Tribolium castaneum: one gene and its partner. The protein of the gene in region 2 interacts with the protein of the main gene of each other region in a biochemical or structural test. Links are inferred from orthologs where the notes say so. Each region holds a gene or a part of one and is shown on either strand. Other genes may lie near its edges.

Region 1 (4,446 bases), on a different chromosome or scaffold from region 2:
GCTACTTGATGTTTCGCACCAGGAAGAGATAATAGGGGGGCCCACGTTGACAGTGGCAGCGTTACCAATGTCGGGGAAGATTGTCTTGATGGAAATGTCACAGAGGTTTCATGTGGACCACTTACAGAAGGTTTTAGACAAGGCTTTACAAGGGTGTAAAGACATTAAAAGTATTTTGGATGAGGCAGTCAAGAGTCACATTCAGGATGTTGGTAGTTCGACAGGTTGGGCAAGCACAACGTGAGGAGAGCATGTATAGAATATATTTCTGACAATTATTGATTATATTACATTATAAAAGAACCTTTTTTATTAATTAAATAATGTATAGAAAAGCTATGTACAGTTGTTTCTCTAGAGGAGTTGGAGGGACTATAAAAGTACTGATGAAAACTTAAGGACACTTGCGGGAAAAATAAAAATAAATATAAAAAGTATTAATTTGCGGTGGCCTCAGGATGTCTTTCCAAAATCATGGCCACACCCTATGCGAATAAAAAACAATTAAACATATTTCTATAAATTCCAAAACTATTATTTACCTGTCCACCAGCTGCGCAAGCAGCAACCACTCCAAACTGTCCATCCTCTTTCACAAGCCTATTAGCGGTGTGCATAGCCAGCCTGATTCCAGTGGCAGCGAAGGGATGTCCAATAGAAAGCGATCCTCCCCAGTTGTTGAATTTGTTGATGTCAGGAGCCCCAATCTTGCTGCTCCTCTTCATATAAGTTTGTGCAAACCAATCACTGTCCATGGCTTTGAAATTTGCCAAAATTTGGCCGGCGAAAGCTTCATGGAACTCCCAAACAGCAATGTCTTTCATTGTAAGCCCGGCTTTTTCTAATACAATTGGAGTGCCGTAGGCTGGTCCTAGCAAAAGTTGGTCGATAGGGTCTTGGGAAACGTAGATAAAGTCCCGCAAATAGGCCTTGGGTTTCAGGCCCAAAGCCTTAGCTTTCGCTTCCGTTGTAACAATAGCAGCGGAAGCACCGTCAGTCTGAGAAAAACAATAATTATTACTTGAAGTCAATTTCTGATAAAACCAGCATCTGAAGTTGAAATTAAATTAGCAACATTAACAATCACAGTTTTATCAATAATCTAATAATCATTTAATTGATCCAAAAATAAAGAGAATGATGCCGTTTTTGAGCGCCTTATTTTGTTTTTCATCCAGAAACAAATTCGCTTTTGCCATTAAATACCATGCGATCATTATCATATGAAATTAGAATTTATTATTAATATAAAATTAGAATTCTTTTTCTGAGAATGATAAACTAGTGAAAAGTGAGGGAAAAATGTATTGTAATTATTAATTACTAATTAAATTAAACAATAATGTTCGAGGTTTTATTATTTAACTTTTCCGCTTGATTAATTATGATAATCACCGTTTTCGTACAATGACGAGCAAAAAAATTCGGGCACCTTTGACATTTCACTAACATAATCGTGTGGAATTCCCTTTTTGAAAATGAAATGGCAGAAAAGCGCACGAAGGCATACAAAATAGTTATTAATAATACAAGTGCTTTTTTTATCAACACTTTACCTGTAGTCTCACTCCTACAACGTTGTCAATTTTATCATGCTATTTTTTTGATTATTTTGATTTTTTTTTAATCACGCTAATAAGTAATAACTGCTTCTGGAAAAATTATGAAAAAAGTATGCAGTCCCTGTCAACAATGCCAACGTAATTTAAAAATCACAGACAAGTCTGATCAAAAATTCAGTTGATGATCGAAAGCAAATAGGATGTTAAACTTACCAAAAATGAGGCATTGGCTGCTGTGACGGTACCGTGTGGTTTAATAAATGCAGGCTTAAGTTTGGCCAGTTGTTCTGGGGTGGAAACACGGATTCCGTTATCTTTTTCAATAACTTTATCAATTCCAGGGATCTACAAGAAAATTAGATTTTTTTTTTAATTTTAAATTAATTTATTCATTACCTTGACTGGGATAAGATCGGTGAAGTGGCCACTTTCATATGCATGTTGCGCCAAAGTGTGTGACCTAAGAGCGAATTCGTCTTGTTCTCTACGAGTGGCCCCAAAGGCAGCTGCGAGACGGTCAGCAGAGTGACCCATGGTTTCGCCAGAAGAAAACTCGGCAACAGCTGGCAACTAACCCAAACTTTACAATCAATTAACAGATTTTTACGTAATTACCTCTGGGACGAAATAATCAGGTCTGATGCTCGCCAGAAGCCCCAATTTTTGCTGCAAAGTCTTGGCTTTGTTGGCTTGGAGCATCAAGCTGCGCATTTTTCTGTTGTGCCTAATGGGAATATCAGACATGAATTCAACACCTCCTGCCACGATGAGCTCGTAAACACCGCTTGCAATAAGCCCAATGGCTGAAAAAAAATTAATTAAACTAAACCATTTAATTTTTGTTTTTTGTACCTGTAGTCATGGCCACATTTGATGAAATGCAAGCCATTGTGACGGTATGAGCGGGGGTTTTGTCACTGTAACCAGCTGCAAGGGCAGCCTCCCTCGCAATATTTGAAGTCTTGACTTCCTGAATAACCGTTCCATAGATGACATAATCAATCATTTCCTTTGGAACACCAGTCTTTTTTAAAATGCCACTGAAATGGCAAAATTGTGATTATGGCCAACTGGGGTTACGAATTTCTTACGCTAAGGCTTGTTTGGCTAAGTCATGTGGCATCAGTTTGGAATAGTCTGTTCCAGACATTAAAAATGGGGTTCTGACTCCATCCACCAAAACGATATTCTTTCCAGTTCTGTCTGGAACAGTTTTCTTGCTGTTTAATTGCGTTCCGACAGAAAAGGCCCTCAAATTTCCTGAAAAGCAATCACGGTTTTTGAACTTTGTACGTGCACTTTTTCAGAACATTGCACCGCCAATTTGATTTTAATTAAACTACTTACCAAATTGTTGCTGGGTTAGCCCTAGGGCTGCAGGGCTTTTAACTATGTTTCTTGCAATGTACGAAGCCATTTTGAAGGGTTAAAATATCAAATAAAAATTAACGCAAAGGAACACAATTTCGGAATATTTACTAAAAGGTAGATTCGCCACACGTCGACTTTGACCCGCAGTGTTGCCAGCTGTAGAACCGAAAATGACGAAATCGTTCGCATAACAGAGCAAAGGGCTAAAATTGTTGTGTAACAACCAAAACGCTTTGTATCTGGAGTATTCACATGTATTATTTAATTTACGGATTATTTACAAAATAAAAAGTTCAACAATAAAGTTCTCATACTGTTTAGGGCTCTATGTTGGTGACAAAATTCTAGTGACAATTAATCTTTATCGCATCATTATATAACTAAAATTTTTTGGAATATTTAAAATCTCTATTAGATCAAAGTTCAGATACCGATACCGTCTTGTGTCTACTTCGTAACACGTTTATATTCAATTATAAATCCATATTTTTTTATATTTAAACAAGTTGTAAAGCTATAACAAAAATTAATTTTTGATTTTTTTTATTGTTCACTTGGTTCATGGCACTATGTGCATCCAGTAAATATGAAATTTTGCATGAGAAATGTACTGCTCAGTTATTACCGTATCATTTATGTAATCTTGACCTTTAAAACCCAAGTCCACCGATTATGCTCTGAGCAATTTTTTTTGTTAATTTGGTTGTCCTGGTGGTATTTTTTATCAAATATAAATCTCACATTATAATTTATTATCAAATTAATATGCGGATTGAAAAAATATTTTTCGTAGTAGATGTAGACAAGCAAATAATATTAAAGTGTATTTACAATTTTTTTTTATTTTGTCTGTGTGTGAATGTGATTTTTTTAATGCAAAGTGGACAAAATGAAATTAGATAATTAAAATAAAATGGGCTTGTTTGGATCTGAAGGCAAATTAATAAAAATGCATTATTTATTGAGAATTTATTATCACAGCCGTTAATATCACATTTCTTTAGGTGTATTGTTTACTAAGAACTACTGCCACGAGGAGCCGAGGGTCATATACCTGAAACAGTAATAAAATGTGTTAGTTACAAAAATAAAGGTAAAATTTGTTCAGTCATGTAATAACTACACGTAACAAAAATCATATTAATAGGATTTTGAAACAAAAAATGTGTATTACATGACATCGTGATCTTAAACTATAACTAAAATAATCGTTTATTTAAAGGATGTATAATTCGTTTAAATAAAAATAATAGCATGCAGTGTGTTTAGGATTAAAATAAATTAGGTTTAACGTTTGAATTAGCGCAGTTTAATTGATGTTTAAAATGTTAAGGTTTAATACTTTACCTGCTAGAGAGATGTAAGTGCACTAGAAATTTAAAATCATATTAATAAGGGAATTAACGAGAGATGTTTTGTCATATGCGATATTTATTCAAAACACGATACAGTTTACTTCATCTAAACTGGTATAATCTACACATCTACATTAGATTTAGCGAGCTATTCTGTA
Region 2 (4,529 bases):
AGTGTGATTGCAGCCTAAATGCAACAATCGATGCAATCACCAACGACGATTCCGAAGAAGTGTCTCTCTGTGACCGCTTTCTCGACTCTCTTTTTACATGTTTCGGTAACTTGTTTTGCTGTTGGGATGGCCCCTCATACACCGACGTCCAAGAAAGGAGCAACGAGCGCCAAACTCCACGAGGAGTCATTACAACTTCAAGTGTACTTCAAGAGCTGCCTCAAGTTCATCAAGCGACCACCAATGCGGTACAAATTTTACCTTCCCTGCCTCGTAATTGATTAATTATTACAAAAATTTAAGGCGTTTTACCGCGAACAAGCCCAACAGCATTTAGAGAAGAAACGCGAATTGAATCGGAGGGCTCACCAGTATAAACAGGAGGGGAAACACAGGCTTGCCCATGATTGTTTTGAAGAAGCAAAAATACAGACGAAACTGCACGATGAAGCCAACAGTCGGGCAGCTGCTGCATTTTTAGAAGAAAATTACAGGAAATATCCAAGTAATGATACAATTGATTTGCATTATCTTTACGTGAAGGAGGCGATCCGGGCCTTGGATATTTTTCTGGACGATCAAATTTCACACTTGAGGGACGATAGTTTAAACTCGAAAGGGCTCAGTGTTATCACAGGGCGAGGGAAGCATAGTGAGAATGGGGTTCCCAAAATTAAGCCAGCTGTTATTGAACGATTGCAAGCAAGAAGGCTTAAGTAAGTCGTTCTGTTGAATCAAATAATTATTGTCAAGTGGACTGTTTTCAGGTTTTCGGAAGTCAATGCGGGCTGTTTGAAAGTCTATATTTGTAAAACTTCACCTTTAACCAATGATCTAAGTTAGAGAGGCTCTTTTATTTTACCAAAGACTGAACAAAGATTGTGTTAGCGTTTTTATTTTGTCAATGTAATCGTACATTATTATTTAACCGTATTTTTGTAATACATTTTTTACTTTGTTATTTTTATAGTTTTTTCAAATAAATATTTTTTGTCTCAACGTTTTTGTGTTTTAATTAACATCGTTTTCAGTTTCACTAAAGCAATACGTTACCTGTTAGCGTTCTTTTGAAATAATTTCTGCTATTATTTTTTATTACATTATAAATTATTCAAAGTATAATTAACTTTACCAAAGTTTCGACTTTGAACAGATATAAAAGTTGCCAATAAAAGATTGATTGAAGCATTTTTTGCAAGAGTGCAGTCTGTGAAGTGAGTTTATTTGTGCCAATTATTTTTTTAGTTTGTCGTTTTATAAAAAAGGTAAATTATTGCCAGTCTACGAGTTATGGAGATATAACTAATACGTTTTTTTGCATAGAAAAAAATATAAAGTACTCTGAATTCTGTGATTATTTGGTTTAAACATACATATAAAAAAATATACTTTTTACTGGGGTTGAAAAAAAAAACAGCAAAAAATTGTAATGTTATGCAACCATAATTGCGGTCTTGCATGCTACGTGGAGTATTTCTGTTCATATGAGATGATTTTTGCAATTTAAAAAAAATTAAGTTTTTGTAACTATAATGGTGTGCATTAGATTTTTCCTGAAATAGTTTTTTCGGCGTTTTTATTAAAATTTTTCAGTTAGATCTAGTGTTGCCATCTATGCAACCGTTTCAAAGCCACTACAGAATTCTGTTTCGAAGCGTCAATGTCAAACCCACATGATCAAAAGTCATGAATGCATAAAATAGTTATCCAACTGGGCAAAGTTCATTACTCGGCTCATTTTGAAAAGCTGGGGAAGTGTAGGGAGTGTTGGTGTTTGTAGTTGCTCGAAAATTCAATTAAAATTGGAACCATGTCGACACTACGGTTTTTTGGGGCCTTATCGAAAATTTCCCGTACTAACATAAAGTTTAAGAACACAGGTAACCTCAATTTTCTCTAAACGAATGCACTTTGATGTGTGCACTTTGCACCTGAATTGTTGAATATTGCTAACAGGGGCCTTTTCAGCACAAATCCGCGGCATGGCCTCACAGGAGAGGAAGCACACGAAGCTCAAAGTTGTGGATAATATTGGAGTCATAGTCTTAGACTCGCCAGGAGTCAAAGTGAGTATTTAGCGTAAAAATGGCACGAGCGATGTGTTTATCAATTTTTTCCCAACTTATCACGCTGTTCTGGTAACAAGCTTATTTATTTGCAAAAGCGTCTCAAACCGTGCAATAAAACAAAATTTGACAGTATTTGTCAACAAAATTTTGATTTTGATTTTAATGAAAATGAACGGGAAAGTTCTCGAAATCGGTTCCACAATCAACATCGAGCGAAGTGACGGTAGAGTGCATCCGGCAATCGTATCCAGCATTAACTACGAGCTGGACATAGTCGGGGTTGAGTGGTTTGAGGCAGGTGAAACCAAAGGCAAGGAAATCGACTTTAATTGCGTCACCAGACTAAACCCTCACATCGCCGCTATAAAGCCAGACGTTCAGAGATTCAGTGAGTGTTCCTCTGACGTTGCTCTAGTCGAAAAACCGAAAAAACGCCAGTCTATCGCCGTGTACAACAATCGCGTCAAATCCTCCAAGTCGAGAATCACCCAAGACATCGTTAAGCCGAAAAATTCACTCAAAGACAAGTACCCCCAAACCTCGCGGTCCGTAATCGAGCACATCTCCAACTCGTTCGAGAGCAATGTGGTCAAGAAAGTGGGAAAACTGGAGCTCGAACGCATCGAGCGCCGCAAAAAACAGGCGGAATTCAAAGCGGAAAAAGTCGAGCTGACCAAACGTAACGCCGATAACCCCCATTGGGAATTGCACCAAATGATCCACGATTACTGTAAAAACCTGAACTATAAACCTTTGACGATCAATGATGTAATAGAGGACCGTCTCATAACAGTCTGCGTCCGCAAGCGACCTTTGAACAAGAGCGAAAACGCGAAGAAAGAAGTCGACGTTATAACAGTGCCCAGCAAAAACCAAATCATCGTTCACGAACCCAAAACCAAAGTCGATCTCACCAAATACCTCGAAAACCACTTATTCAAATTCGATTACACGTTCAACGAGCATTGCGACAACGAAATCGTCTACAAATACACGGCGCAACCACTCATCCGGACGGTTTTTGAGGGCGGTTTCGCCACGTGTTTCGCATACGGACAGACCGGATCCGGGAAAACGTACACAATGAGCGGCGATATTTTCCGAACGAATGCCCACAAGGGAATTTATGCGATGGCTGCGACCGACGTTTTCCGACTTGTAGCGTCCCCAAAATACCGGCATTTAAACTTGATTGTAACGTGCAGTTTCTTCGAGATTTACTCGCGCAAAGTGCTCGATTTGTTGAACCGTAAAGGCGATTTAAAAATCCTGGAAGACGGCAAGCAGCAGGTCCAAGTTGTGGGCCTCACCGAAAAGGTTGTGTCCTCAGTTAATGAAGTTCTGGAGTTGATTAATCACGGGAATATGGCCAGGACTTCGGGGCAAACCTCGGCGAACGAAAACTCCTCGCGTTCGCATGCCGTTTTCCAGATTTATTTGCGTCCGGCGAAGAAATTTAATTCGCTGCATGGAAAATTCTCTTTGATTGATTTGGCGGGGAACGAGCGCGGGGCCGACACTTTGTCGTCCACTAAGACAACGCGAATGGAAGGGGGCGAGATAAACAAGTCGCTTTTGGCTTTGAAGGAGTGTATAAGGGCCCTGGGGAGGAAAGGGGCTCATTTGCCGTTTCGGTTGAGTAAATTAACGCAGGTTTTGCGCGATTCGTTCATCGGGGCCAATTCGAAGACTTGCATGATTGCGATGGTGTCTCCTGGAGTCAGTTCGTGCGAAAATACGTTGAATACGTTGCGGTACGCTGACCGGGTTAAGGAGCTAGGGGGCGGCGAGTTGCAGCATTTGTCGACGATTAATGAGAAAAATAACGAGATTATTTCGATGGGGTTGGAGGAGGAGAAGAGTTTCTCGGATAATTCCGAAGAGTTTAAAATTGTTAAAGAAAAAGTTGTTAATCTACACAGAGAGATTATTAGTAAACTGCAAGATGCGACCAAGGAGGCCAAGTATTTGAATAAGTGTATTGACAACGAACCGGAGAAGTACTGTCGGGAATTCGAAGAGTTTGTCGACGATACTGTGGCGTTTTTGTTGAATGTTAAAAATAGTGTCATTGAATATAAAATGAAGCTGTTGGCCGAAGAATGATTTTTTGCAATAAATTGTCTGGCAAGAATTCCGTTTTCGATTTATTTGAGTATAAGTTGTGTGATTGTTATTGTAAAACACTGAACAAAAGAATTACGAAAATTTGACAAAAATACGATATTCCCAAATCAAAAAATTAATGTTTTGTGTTGGTAAAAAGCTGATATTTTGATTAGATTATAATCGTATCGAATAAATGCATAATAAATTTATAAGTAATGAGATCATATTTTACATTTGATTTTTTGGCGCAAAAATACTTTCCTGATTCACTTTTCATGATTTATGAAAATAGTAACTGGAGTAAGTCAATAAAAAAGTTTTTAATGAAATTGTAAAATTATTTAATAAATC

Evidence for each region.
Region 1: the proteins of Mtpalpha (region 2) and Mtpbeta are reported together in a solved structure, tested with the Homo sapiens proteins (2 studies listed by IntAct, with this or other methods). The link is inferred for Tribolium castaneum from reciprocal best matches to the Homo sapiens genes HADHA and HADHB.

What each region holds. Positions count from the first base shown.
Region 1 is NC_087396.1:13,485,676-13,490,121, forward strand, and holds Mtpbeta (trifunctional enzyme subunit beta, mitochondrial), read right to left. Parts: upstream 3,107-4,446; 5' UTR 2,980-3,106; coding exon 2,910-2,979; intron 2,823-2,909; coding exon 2,654-2,822; intron 2,603-2,653; coding exon 2,415-2,602; intron 2,366-2,414; coding exon 2,178-2,365; intron 2,133-2,177; coding exon 1,959-2,132; intron 1,908-1,958; coding exon 1,776-1,907; intron 999-1,775; coding exon 543-998; intron 486-542; coding exon 438-485; 3' UTR 248-437; downstream 1-247. Other genes in the region: Ski6 (exosome complex component RRP41), read left to right, coding at 1-244. UniProt on the Homo sapiens protein: Mitochondrial trifunctional enzyme catalyzes the last three of the four reactions of the mitochondrial beta-oxidation pathway.
Region 2 is NC_087398.1:2,394,701-2,399,229, reverse strand, and holds the start of Mtpalpha (trifunctional enzyme subunit alpha, mitochondrial), read left to right. Parts: upstream 1-1,670; 5' UTR 1,671-1,810; coding exon 1,811-1,880; intron 1,881-1,968; coding exon 1,969-2,066; intron 2,067-2,136; exon of another isoform or gene 2,137-2,231; coding exon of another isoform or gene 2,232-4,175; exon of another isoform or gene 4,176-4,203; intron 4,204-4,529. Other genes in the region: kinesin-like protein Klp10A, read left to right, coding at 2,232-4,175. UniProt on the Homo sapiens protein: Mitochondrial trifunctional enzyme catalyzes the last three of the four reactions of the mitochondrial beta-oxidation pathway.